Linked DNA regions of Neodiprion lecontei. The protein of the gene in region 3 interacts with the protein of the main gene of each other region in a pairwise test. Links are inferred from orthologs where the notes say so. Each region holds a gene or a part of one and is shown on either strand. Other genes may lie near its edges.

Region 1 (3,757 bases), on a different chromosome or scaffold from region 3:
TCGCTGAAATAATGTGTTTTTTTTCCTCTGCCAACAGCGGCTGCGGCAGCAATGAATTCAACGTTTTGTTATTAACGCGTGGTACACCAGGGGGGGAAGAGAAAAGAATCACCAACAATTTTCAGACCTTCGTCTGATTACACTGACACACCGACGTACGTCCTCTAAAGCTCGACGCACAACAGCGGCGTCAACGCGAGCGGGATTGTGCACTATTCGGTCACTGAAATGGGGCGATTCAATGTTCAGCTACTGGAGGTGCCCCAAATCTCTCGACAAGTTTAATTACGCCGGCTTTGATCGTCCGGCTTTTCCACAATTTTGGAAGCTGTTCCGCCTTGATAATTAACAATTTAAAGCACCGCACACGTCCAATGGGATTAGCTTAATTCCCTGAATGATTCGTAGAGATAGGCTCTTTCCATTACCTACGTACAACCAAGTTCGAACACGTACGCAACAACGTGTTTCGTAACGTAAATTTTTGCGAAAGTTATGCTTCGTTTGTAAAATGTTTCTCTGGAGGTATTTCTACATCTTTACACCAGTAATATTCCAACGAACAATCAATCGCGACATGACCGAAGCACCGGAACATTTCCCATCCGTTACCCTTGAAAATCAACAACCCTCCGCGACCCTGAAAGACATTATTTCATTTTATATTCCGCCACTCTGTTCTTCTTCGGTCATGGATATAAGGGTCGCGGCACTTTGGAGTGGATTTGAGGGAAACGAGTGGCGGGATCGTCTGGCTCACCTGAGGTACTCCCTGGACGCGATGGACTCCCATGACATGGCGGTGCCTCTCTCGCCCCCGTCCCTTTCCTCTTCGTCCCTCTCTGACGACCCCCACTGCCAGTCTCATCTTTCTCCACCGCCATTATCCCCAGCACCGCACCTGCAGGCCGCACTCAGGCAATACATAACACCTCGGCGAAGTCACACTCCTGCGGCGTTTCTCGATCGCGAGGACCGGGAACCGGCAAAGGCTTCCCTTTCCTCGTAACGGACACTCGGCGATTAAACGACCAGCGAAAACTCACCGGGGCCGCGAGGATTCGGGTTTCTTGACATCTATGGTGCCGATTCGGTGGTTCTTACGGGGTTTTCCGGCCTCTCAGCACAGCTCTTCAGGCCTTGAAGGTCCCGGACTCTCCCGAATCGCAGCTCGAAGGTGAACCGATAGTGGCTAAGTGTTCCGTTCTGTTGTGTCACCAGATTGTGACCCGATTATTGGCGCAGCTACTGCTTAACTGACTTTCCCAGTGCCGTTCTTTGTCCATTCAGTTGATCTTTTTTTCAAAATTTAGCGCAGCTCCAGAGAGAGGAACTCGTGCAGACTGCGGCGAATGGCTCATTAATCCACTGCTCGGTTTTTATTTTTGCACGATACTCTGAGCCACGAATTTTGTACCGTATTGTTCTCTGGTGTACCTATTGTTCGCTGGTCTTCTGCTGGATACAGAAGTACAAGACTGACGGCCTCGACTCGTTTTCCGCACGTTTATCATCGACACGCGTATATTCGTGGCTGAATGACAGCCAAAACTGGCACCGAGGTTTTTGAGCTTACCTTCCAAGTTTCATACCCGCTAAGCTATTGCGTGGTTCTGATCAAGATTACGAGGCGGTGGTAACTCGACAGATCTGTCAATAGACTAGAGTTTGCATATAGTTCAGGGCAGTAGCAATTATCGGAAATGAGTTTAATCGCTCGACCTTTGCTCCGCTGATTAGAGAGGGTTCGGGCAGTTGTTTGTTACGCTTCGGAGCCCGGGAGAAGATCGCACCGATCAATCTCCGGAAAAATTTCTCGACCAGGAGAAAAGTAAATTGTTTGGAGCTTGTCCACTCGGCCGTTTAATTTCTCCCCGCGAATCAGGCTGCGTTATAAAAAAATCCGAGCGAAAGAGAACGCTAGGTAGTCGTCTGAGTGAAACCGAGATGAAGATGGAGACTGAAAACTTAAGATGCGAAAAGAGTTTACGGAAGGGTAAAGAAGTATTTCAAGAGCGACAGTCACCCATCCTCCAATTACATCACGATTCACGTTTTATCCTTGCACACTGTACGTAATATCCTTAGATGGGTGAAAATTTTTCCATTGAACGTAGTCCGACTTTTAGAGAAAAAAAAGTAGTACAACGAATAACAAAAGTGGCACGCTTATTAGCACTTTTAATCCTGTGGGTGTTTTCCACGATTACGTAAATACATCGCAGTTCGAACAGGATCCTCCTTTTGAACCCTGTCCTTCCCACTGGAACACTTTCAGAGTCTCAGAAGTACGAATTCGTTTCGTAGATAGCGAAAAGCTTTGACTGTAATCGGTGTACGAAGGGTACAGAGAGTCAGTGGTCTGCAAGGTGGTTCTATCCTGGAACGTCGTCTCTTGGAGCATGCAGCGTAGTTATTGCCAGATCGCTCAAGATTGGCCAACACTTTTATACAAATACTGATAACCAAATTTCGCTGTAGTTGATTAGGCGAAACATTAGGCGGTTCACGCGTTAAAATTTAATCCTTCGAATCGGAGTAGCGAGAGATCCTTGCGGTAACGGATTAAAGTCGGTTCACACGTTCACACGATCTCCGAGCGGACCGAAGGCCTCCGATTCCGCGCCTACTTTATACAAAGTATGTTACAAAGTTCGGACGTCGACACTCCGACCCCGGGTCCAGTGAAGGTTAGAGGTTCGCCGATAGGCGACGGTCAGGCCCTGTCGAACAACGAGGCTGCGGCGAAGCTCTGCCGGCCGTGGTTGGAGCCGAACTGTCGCGCCCGAGCCGCAGCAGCCCGCAACACACGACCCTCCACCCCCTACCCCCCTCCTTTTCATCCCCTTCACCGCCTCACGCCATTCCATCCTCGCACTTCTCCACCGCTGCCGTACCCTTTCTCACTTACATCTCGCCGACTATACGATACACCCACCGACTTCTATTGAAGACTTGCTTTAATCATGGTAGGTAGGTACATGCCTACCATACTCCTGGGAGAGTGCATGGTCACGGTGAAATCAACCCTCATTCGACGTCCAGCCTCACTTAACGGTCCAAGACTGATGTGGAACGGTGAAATCACCCCGGCATTCCTTACCGAAAGTGATCGGGATCTCAGTCAATCGATTACGAGAAGCGCGCAAGCGAGGGACTGAAATTTGTCAGGAATTATCGATGACAAGCTGCACGATCATTTGGTTGTCGGACGCATGGAATTATGCAATTTTCATGGAAACTCGTAGATTCTTGTCGTACTTTTGTCATGTCCTCCACATCTGGGGCTCGTAAATTTCTTTCTACCACAATCCGCAATCTTCCCGTTAATGACTAGAGCAGAAACTCTGCAGTGACTGACTGTTTGAGTGTTTGCGGCTGTGGCTGCGGACGGAACTTCGCTTAACTTCGGACGGCTTCTGCAAGCCACGTTGATAAACTCGAACAAGATTGAATGCAAATGAGTTGATCGATTTTTCTGGGTTCTGAGGTACTAGCTCGTATCTTCCTACATGGAGCTTTAACGACGAGGGACTTAAACGCACTTGCACGCATTGTTCTTCGAACGCGTCTTAACGACGCGTCTCCTTCAACCGCCATTCAACTTGAGATGATGGGTGATCTGTTTAAGTCGAGTCTCGTATTTTGCCGAAAACTTGTCTCGCCCAGGTGCCGGTCGAGGGGAGCTCGTTAACTCTGATGAAACTGTATGGAAACAACAGCCTAAAACGAAGACCGATCGACTTTTCGAACGACG
Region 2 (3,757 bases), on a different chromosome or scaffold from region 3:
TTTTTTCTCCGGAGTAATCAAATCGGTTTTAAATTTTGAGACATGATAGGGGTTTGCAACATTGCTTGTATGAGCATCGAATAAAGGTGAGAAAATTGAAGAAAACAGTGATAATACCTGCAGCTAATTTTCAATCATTTTGAGGTTGTGACACGTTACTCATGTATGAATTTTTCCGGAAACGGATTGAAATGTGGCCATTTTTGAACACGCTAATATTTTTATTTCGGCAGCTGAAGTCTAATTTTAGCTTTACCTTATTTCTACCGACCGACGAATCAGTCTACGTTAATTTTCTCAGTGATAAACCGGCACGGGATATCAGTTAAACAATTTCTAACTAACGTCACGTGTCTTTGCCGATGATAACATTCAGTTTATAAAGTGATGTAAGCTACTAACGGGAGACGCAACGTCTGCGATCGTATTATATAATACTGTTTATATACATGCATAGATGTAACGACACATTAAAACTCTGGTACAGTGAGCAAAGAAGAACCTATTGTTGAGCTTATACTTGGCCTAATATAATAGGAATTTTTAATGGCGCGTGTAAAAAGCACCTGTTCATCGCTTCGTTCCTTCATATTATCGTCGTCTTTCCTGCGGGCTGCAGGTGTTTTACGTATAAAATATAATCAGCGATTATTTGTAATATTAAAATTGAAATAAAGAGATGAGGATCTTCGTGAACTGTTTGTGACTTGAGATGTCGCCCTTGTACACGTCGCGGTGGTTATAAAATGATTAACTACCCGTAAATTGCACTGCCTTTGATGCTAGATAAACGAGGTTGACTCGCAATCAACTCTCTTCCGGTTTTCATTAACGCTTTCAATATCTACGTACTCGAATATTCTTCTAGGAACGATGTTTGTGTCCGCGAAATTTGTCGTTGTAAAGATCATTCCACCTATCGACTAACTAACTCCATTTGTGCATGAAATTATCTGTTATCTCATGTTAAATGGGCAAAGAGAAAAAAAGTAATGACCAGCCAGTGCACTCGTATATACATAATTAAATGTGAATTATTTTAACTGTGCGTCATGCTGCATCTCACTGTCGGTGTAAATATAGTTCATCAAGCACTCATAAACACTGTAATAAAGCATGCCGATTTTATGGAGGATTATCCGGATGAAGGCTCGTTGGTGAGTGTTCGTATGCTCGGAAAATATCGCCTACAGAAAATTACATGTGCCTGTAATTGCGCCACCAATCAACATATTGACAAGATCTGTGAAGTACAGGCTATTGACTATTTCGCATTAATGGGATATTATTGTTAATTGAGCTATACAATGACATGGAAACTCCTATTTGTTTGTTAAGATTTTTCGGATGTAAGTTTTTGAACGCTGTTGAATCTGAAAATTTTAATATGTACGGAACGTACAATATTATTCGCAAAGAGTGTTTATGTTCAGATATTTAATAACTGTGTATGAGGATGTTTATCTGTGGAAAAAAAAACTGTTTTTTAAATGACGAGCGAGAAATTTTGAATACTAACTAATATTGGAAAAAACCTAAGAATTAAAATCTCAAAACAAAAAACCATTTTAGCGACGGCCATTAGTAGTGATTTTTTTTGTACAGTACACACCTATGCATTCTACATGATTAAATTTTTAATACTTTATACCTACATGTCGTTTAGGTTGGCAAGTATTTGAAAATTAGTTTTCATTCGATGAATATTTGTTTAAATGTACACGTTCCTGTAAAACCAGGCATACAACTTGTGACCGTATCATGATAATTAATAATCGTGTAGCATTATAATCAGTAGCAACTCGACTAACGTCAGAATGTATGCACGTGTAAACAATTCTAAAATTAAAATCAAGGTCAAGTGGAACAGTTGAATTATAATTTTCGAACGTTTCAAACAATCTCATCTTTCGATTATTATCTAATATTAATATAGTTTTTTATTTTTCTTTTTTGGTTGGCAAGTTTTTGCTTCCTAAATTATCGTATCTTATATACATCAAAAAATTAAATTTTGCATTGTTTTTTTTATTGCAGGAGTGGGTGTTAGCTGGGGGTGGTGCGAGGATGGCGGACACGAGTCAGCAGGAGCTCTCGGAGCCGCACACTAATGGGGCAGTAGATGGCCTCACCGAAGAAGAAAAAAGCAAAATGCGGCCTGCGGATATAGATGCTGTAAGTTTCCCCTTTTAATCATGGAAATTCCTGCGTTCTTTTGAAATTTATCTATCGCTCTGTTCGTTGCCACATAATTGAACTCAACTTTAGAACAAAATTTAAGAATTGATTGACAAATGAAAATTGATTTCCATCTACATAAGTAATAAAATAGTATTAGAAATATATTGTCCTTTTGAATTAGCTCATTGCTAACAAAGGTGAAGTAGCAGATGATGAAAAAAATTTCATTTTAACGTGATTGAGAATTGAAGATAATTTCACTTGAATTTGTTCGATTCCTAGGATATGCGTGAAATGGAGAGAAGGAAGAGGGTCGAGATGATGATGAACTCTAGACTCTTCCGAGAAGAATTGGAGCGAATTATTGAAACACAGATGAAAGACGGGGGGGCGGGACCTTCCGGACTCCTTCAACAAATATCTGATATGATGGGGGCACAAGGTGCTCGCTTCAACTCAAATGTGTTCAAAAGTTAGTATTCTACTAATTCAGTTGCTTGAAAAAACCATATTATGTTGTGGAAAAAATCTTTTTTCCATTTTTTACGTTCATGTTAATTATATTCCAACTTACTGCAAGGAATTCTAATTAGAACCGTCGAGAATAAAGTTAACTGACATACTTGGAAATTCTATATGCAATAGTCAGTTTCATCTCAGGAAGTCTTAATTGTACTATTCAAACAGACATTGAAATCAGAAATCGGTTATTCTGGAAATTCCAATTGTGTCATATCGTTGTAGGCATTGGACGTTTGCATTATTATTATTATTATTATTGTTGTGTTGTTGTTGTTGTTGTTATTATTATTATTTCTTTTTTTCTAAACTGAATCAAAATGAACATCTCAAGTCTTGGCCATTTTGTTCGTAAGGCGAGTCATTTTAAAGAAAAACATTTGACAAGTTGTTAATTGTAAAAGGAACAACTATGCTTTGAGGTATAGTTGTGCAATGAAAATGTGACTAAATAGAAAAATTTGCGTTCAATCTGAGTAGAAATTTAGAACTCATTAGACTTGAACTAAAATTACTCATATGTCCTGTCATTTGTGAAAACAAATTTCGTGCATTACTTCGCATTCGTCACAATCTTCTTATTTATATTTCACAATTGTCAAAATCTTTCAATTTTTAACAGCATAAAAATGTTTTTAAAGATTGCAATAATGAGTATCAAAGAAATGAATACTTGGATATACTTGGAAATACGTAGATTTTTACAACTAATAGAAATATAAAGTTATAAATCATTTTCATGATATCTGCTAAAGGTTCAAACTGTGTGGTGCCTATAAATGACATTCGAGGAGTCGAGAGTATGGGATATGCTAAAGGTGAAAAACTGCTACGATGCAAGCTAGCTGCTGTGTTCAGATTGCTTGATCTCTACGGATGGACGCAGGGTGTCGGAGGCCACATTACAGCACGTCTGAATCAAGATCAGGAACACTTTTTGGTCAATCCTTATGGTCTTCTCTATCACGAAGTCACTGCGTCTAGTTTGGTCAAAGTAGATATGCAGGGATCTGTTGTTGAGCAGGGAACGACCAACTTTGGTGTACATATTACCGGA
Region 3 (3,757 bases):
TTCCAGAACTTTTGAGCTTCAACAAGAAACCCATCCCCACCTATACACTTAAAGGATAGACAATAGACTGAGCACTATGAGCACTCCTCCCATAATGGGCACTGAAGCCGTTGCTGGGGCCGGATTCCGAACATCAAGCGAGTTCGAATTAGTTCTACGGTTTTCCGCTCTCCATACTATTATTATAGTCGATGGTTAATGAACATCACGGTCGGTACAGAGCTTATCGATGTTAAATATTATTACGAAGTGGCACATGCTGTTGATAGAGGGCGATAGCTAAGAAAGGAGAGAAAAATAGATGTTCAGAACTAAAAACCGTAGAACTCACTAACTCGAACTCGCTTGATGTTCGGAATCCGGCCCCTGAAGCTAACATATACAGCAAAGAGATATGTCGGGAGTACTCCTTTCTCTTTTCTATCGGCCCCATGGCGGGGGACAAGGGAACAGTTAAAAGTAGAAGAGTCATAGATATAGGCCAGTGGCGAAGCTGCGGTATAAACATTTTTTATCCTGCAGACTAAATTTACATGGTAAGATCCATTAGCAGGTTGTTGACTGTAGAGCACTGCCGTCACCGCCGTGCCCTCTTCCTTGCTTTAAAATGATAACCGTTGCTAACCTGTCTAGCAATCTTCCAGTCAACGCCCTACATTTTCTTGGGACTTCAGCGCCACCTATAGGAACTACCGGTTACTTAACGAGTATTTTCGGACAACAGGTTCGTTGTCCGTGCTTCTCTCTTCAAATGAGTTTGCTTTTCATGTTTTTACCTCAAATCCCGATATCTCTGGAACAAGTGCTGTTTATATGCGATGAGTACTAAACCGTGTCTACTCTAGCTCGGTTCTAAGATTTCGGTGTGATTCATTTTGGAAATATTTGTTCCTTCGTTGTTCAGCAAACCAGTAGGGATATTATTGCATTGTGGAAGGGGAGACCGATAGGGAGTAGCCATACTGTAGAAATCAACAAATCTCTTTTATTGGGCAAGTGGGACACAAGAACCACCACAACAGCAGCAGCAGCAGCAGCAGCAGCAACAACAGCAGGAACAACACAACAACAACAACAACAACACAAATGAGATTGTCGATCACATATTTGGAAACAAGCATACAAGCATTTGTTCTGAATAATCAATTTCGCGGAGGTAGATTTAAGCTTAGTAAATTTGGCTTGATTTATTTGACACTTGTATGTTATTTGTCAGAATCTCAATAGTCGTTCGCCTCGCAATTTCCTCACTACCATCTCCACGTCTGTGTAAATTTCACGAACGATAGCTTGAAATAAGTCCATTCAATTTGTGCGGAAAAATTTTCAATTATTTCGTCTTAGTTTTCATTTGACAAATAATTATCAATGCCTGCAGAGTTTTGTACTTACAATCGAAATGTTAGTCTTGCTTTAATTTGTTTCCACAATTGTACATACGAATTCAACCGAGCTGTGAAAGACTTCAATCCGGGTCTGCAAGCATTTTCTTTTTATTGTGCAAAAATGCATTTGAAATAGATATATCGTAACGGAAATCCTATGACAATGAAAGAAATACGGCGATGCTGATTTTTATGAGCAAGGATCTGGCTGATTCATCAAGAACAACGAATATGGCCAAGAGATGTCAGGGAGCTACCAGTTTTGGCTGATAACACTCAGTACCTAAAAAACATCAGAAAGGCATAATTGCTACTCGCTATCATATGCTAGGTAGAAAACACGAGATGGCTGCCCAAAGCAACACAGCTCTTTCCAACGATGGTTTTGACTGCGGTAAAAATAATCCAACTATTATTTACTGACTTACTAACTCCTTTATAGACTTTGGTAGTCCATGTTGACAAATCAGTATCATTCACAAAAATTGCAATTTTAATTTATTCGTCAAAATTCAAAGTAATACAATGTAAACACTCTGAATCTCACAGAGATGAAACACCGTCTGTACATGGGTATGAACTAGAAATAATACAATTATACATACGTACATACACACGCGTACATACATATAGGCATATGAAAAATACATTCAATAATATTTTTATAGACAAATAGAACAAAGACGAAGAACATGCCAATGAATACCTATTTTAAAAACAATGATAGAGAGAGCATAGTTCATTACCCTTGGTTCTCAATAGCAAAAGTAGTAGTAAATAATAACAATAATAACAATAATCATATCAAATGATTTCGGATAGCCCATATAATCAAGCTATGAAAGCATGCACTCTTCATTTAGCCATTTCATAATCATTCTTTTTGCAGTACATGTCTTAATTTTTAGAGTTTTTAGATTATTAGATGACAAGCTGAAATATTCAGCAACCATATATTTCGGGTTGTTTTTGTAGATTGTTCTCGTAACTTGTCGAACTGGCGCAAGTTGCTTCCTTGCACCTGATTGAAAACTGATGCGAGGTAGATCTCTTCCACATTCTTGTATTTAAAAATAATATTTTTGAAATATAAAAATTACAGGGATTAAGCAAGGTTTGAAGTAGATAATTTTGAGTAACTTTTTTATCATTCTTTGTTGGAGATTAACTAATGGAGCCATAGTGTTTTCATAAGCCCCTCCCCCAAACGATTAAACCATAGTTTGTGATACTGTTAAAAAGTATATGATAAATAGCGTATAAAACAAATGGAGCTGCACGTCTCAGTTTGCTAAAACGCATAAAAAATACCTAGTGTTTTTTCGAATACATTATTCTTATGCGCATCCCATCTAATATTAAAATTGAAAATGATCCGTAAGTGGTTAAATTTTTCAACTCTTTATATTATATCACCTGAAATGCGTATGTTTATCTCATTTGGTGAGTTATTCTTGTAACAGCCACAAAGATGATGCATTCTGTCTTAGAGCTGTTCAACGATACTTTATTTTGGCAAAATCGTTTAATAACATTTCTGTAATTAGTGAGTCTTTTCTGGATTTTCAATTTCAAATTATTATAGTTTGTGTTCTCTACCAATAGGCAGTTGTAGCGACAAAGAAGTTCAAAAAATTGGGAATGCAAATGGTTCGATTCATCTGGTACCTCCAAGTTATCTCTATAATACAGGATCTGGCCAGACTACAAGGGATCTAGACCAAGAGCATAGCAACCAAGATCGTGCATCTGAGGATGAATTAGGACCCCTTCCATCCAATTGGGAGAAAGCCTACACTGACACTGGAGAAGTGTATTTTATCGAGTAAGTAATACTGAAAGTTGTGAGAAATTTTGTAAAAATATATTGCATATGGTTTTCTCAAATAGGATGCTAGTCAACTTATTACCGTATATTATTCAAGTCATAACAGCGGCACGTCGCACTGGCTTGATCCAAGGTTGTCCAAATTTCAAAAACGTTCCCTAGAAGAATGTTTAGATGACGAGCTACCTTATGGGTGGGAAAAAATAGATGATACTTTGTACGGAACCTACTTTATCGACCATGTGAATCGGCGAACCCAATACGAGAACCCAGTACTCCAAGCCAAACGGGCTCAGCAGGGCGTGACAGACTGTAAAAGTTCAGTATTCACTAGAAACCCTGATAAATTAAAGGGGCTAAGAATACGTAGTACGCTGCTGAAAGGTACCAGAGGACTGGGTTTCACTATTGTCGGTGGAGATGACACTATTGAAGAATTCCTTCAGATAAAAAGTGTCGTGCCAAACGGACCAGCCTGGATAGATGGAAAGCTGCAGACTGGTAAGAGGGTCCAGAATTTATCCTATCACGAATCTTTTATTAT

The links.
Region 1: the proteins of membrane-associated guanylate kinase, WW and PDZ domain-containing protein 2 (region 3) and 43 kDa receptor-associated protein of the synapse homolog interact in a two-hybrid assay, tested with the Caenorhabditis elegans proteins (2 studies listed by BioGRID). The link is inferred for Neodiprion lecontei from reciprocal best matches to the Caenorhabditis elegans genes magi-1 and rpy-1.
Region 2: the proteins of membrane-associated guanylate kinase, WW and PDZ domain-containing protein 2 (region 3) and protein hu-li tai shao interact in a two-hybrid assay, tested with the Caenorhabditis elegans proteins (2 studies listed by BioGRID). The link is inferred for Neodiprion lecontei from reciprocal best matches to the Caenorhabditis elegans genes magi-1 and add-1.

Annotation. Positions count from the first base shown.
Region 1 is NC_060263.1:35,028,409-35,032,165, reverse strand, and holds the start of 43 kDa receptor-associated protein of the synapse homolog, read right to left. Parts: upstream 2,759-3,757; 5' UTR 799-2,758; coding exon 761-798; intron 1-760.
Region 2 is NC_060263.1:22,533,787-22,537,543, reverse strand, and holds the start of protein hu-li tai shao, read left to right. Parts: upstream 1-1,037; 5' UTR 1,038-1,052; coding exon 1,053-1,157; intron 1,158-2,037; coding exon 2,038-2,175; intron 2,176-2,463; coding exon 2,464-2,653; intron 2,654-3,455; coding exon 3,456-3,757. UniProt on the Caenorhabditis elegans protein: Membrane-cytoskeleton-associated protein that promotes the assembly of the spectrin-actin network. Plays a role in time-dependent memmory loss and the retention of conditioned behavior over time.
Region 3 is NC_060264.1:36,470,600-36,474,356, reverse strand, and holds the start of membrane-associated guanylate kinase, WW and PDZ domain-containing protein 2, read left to right. Parts: upstream 1-739; 5' UTR 740-1,709; coding exon 1,710-1,779; intron 1,780-2,990; coding exon 2,991-3,210; intron 3,211-3,310; coding exon 3,311-3,714; intron 3,715-3,757.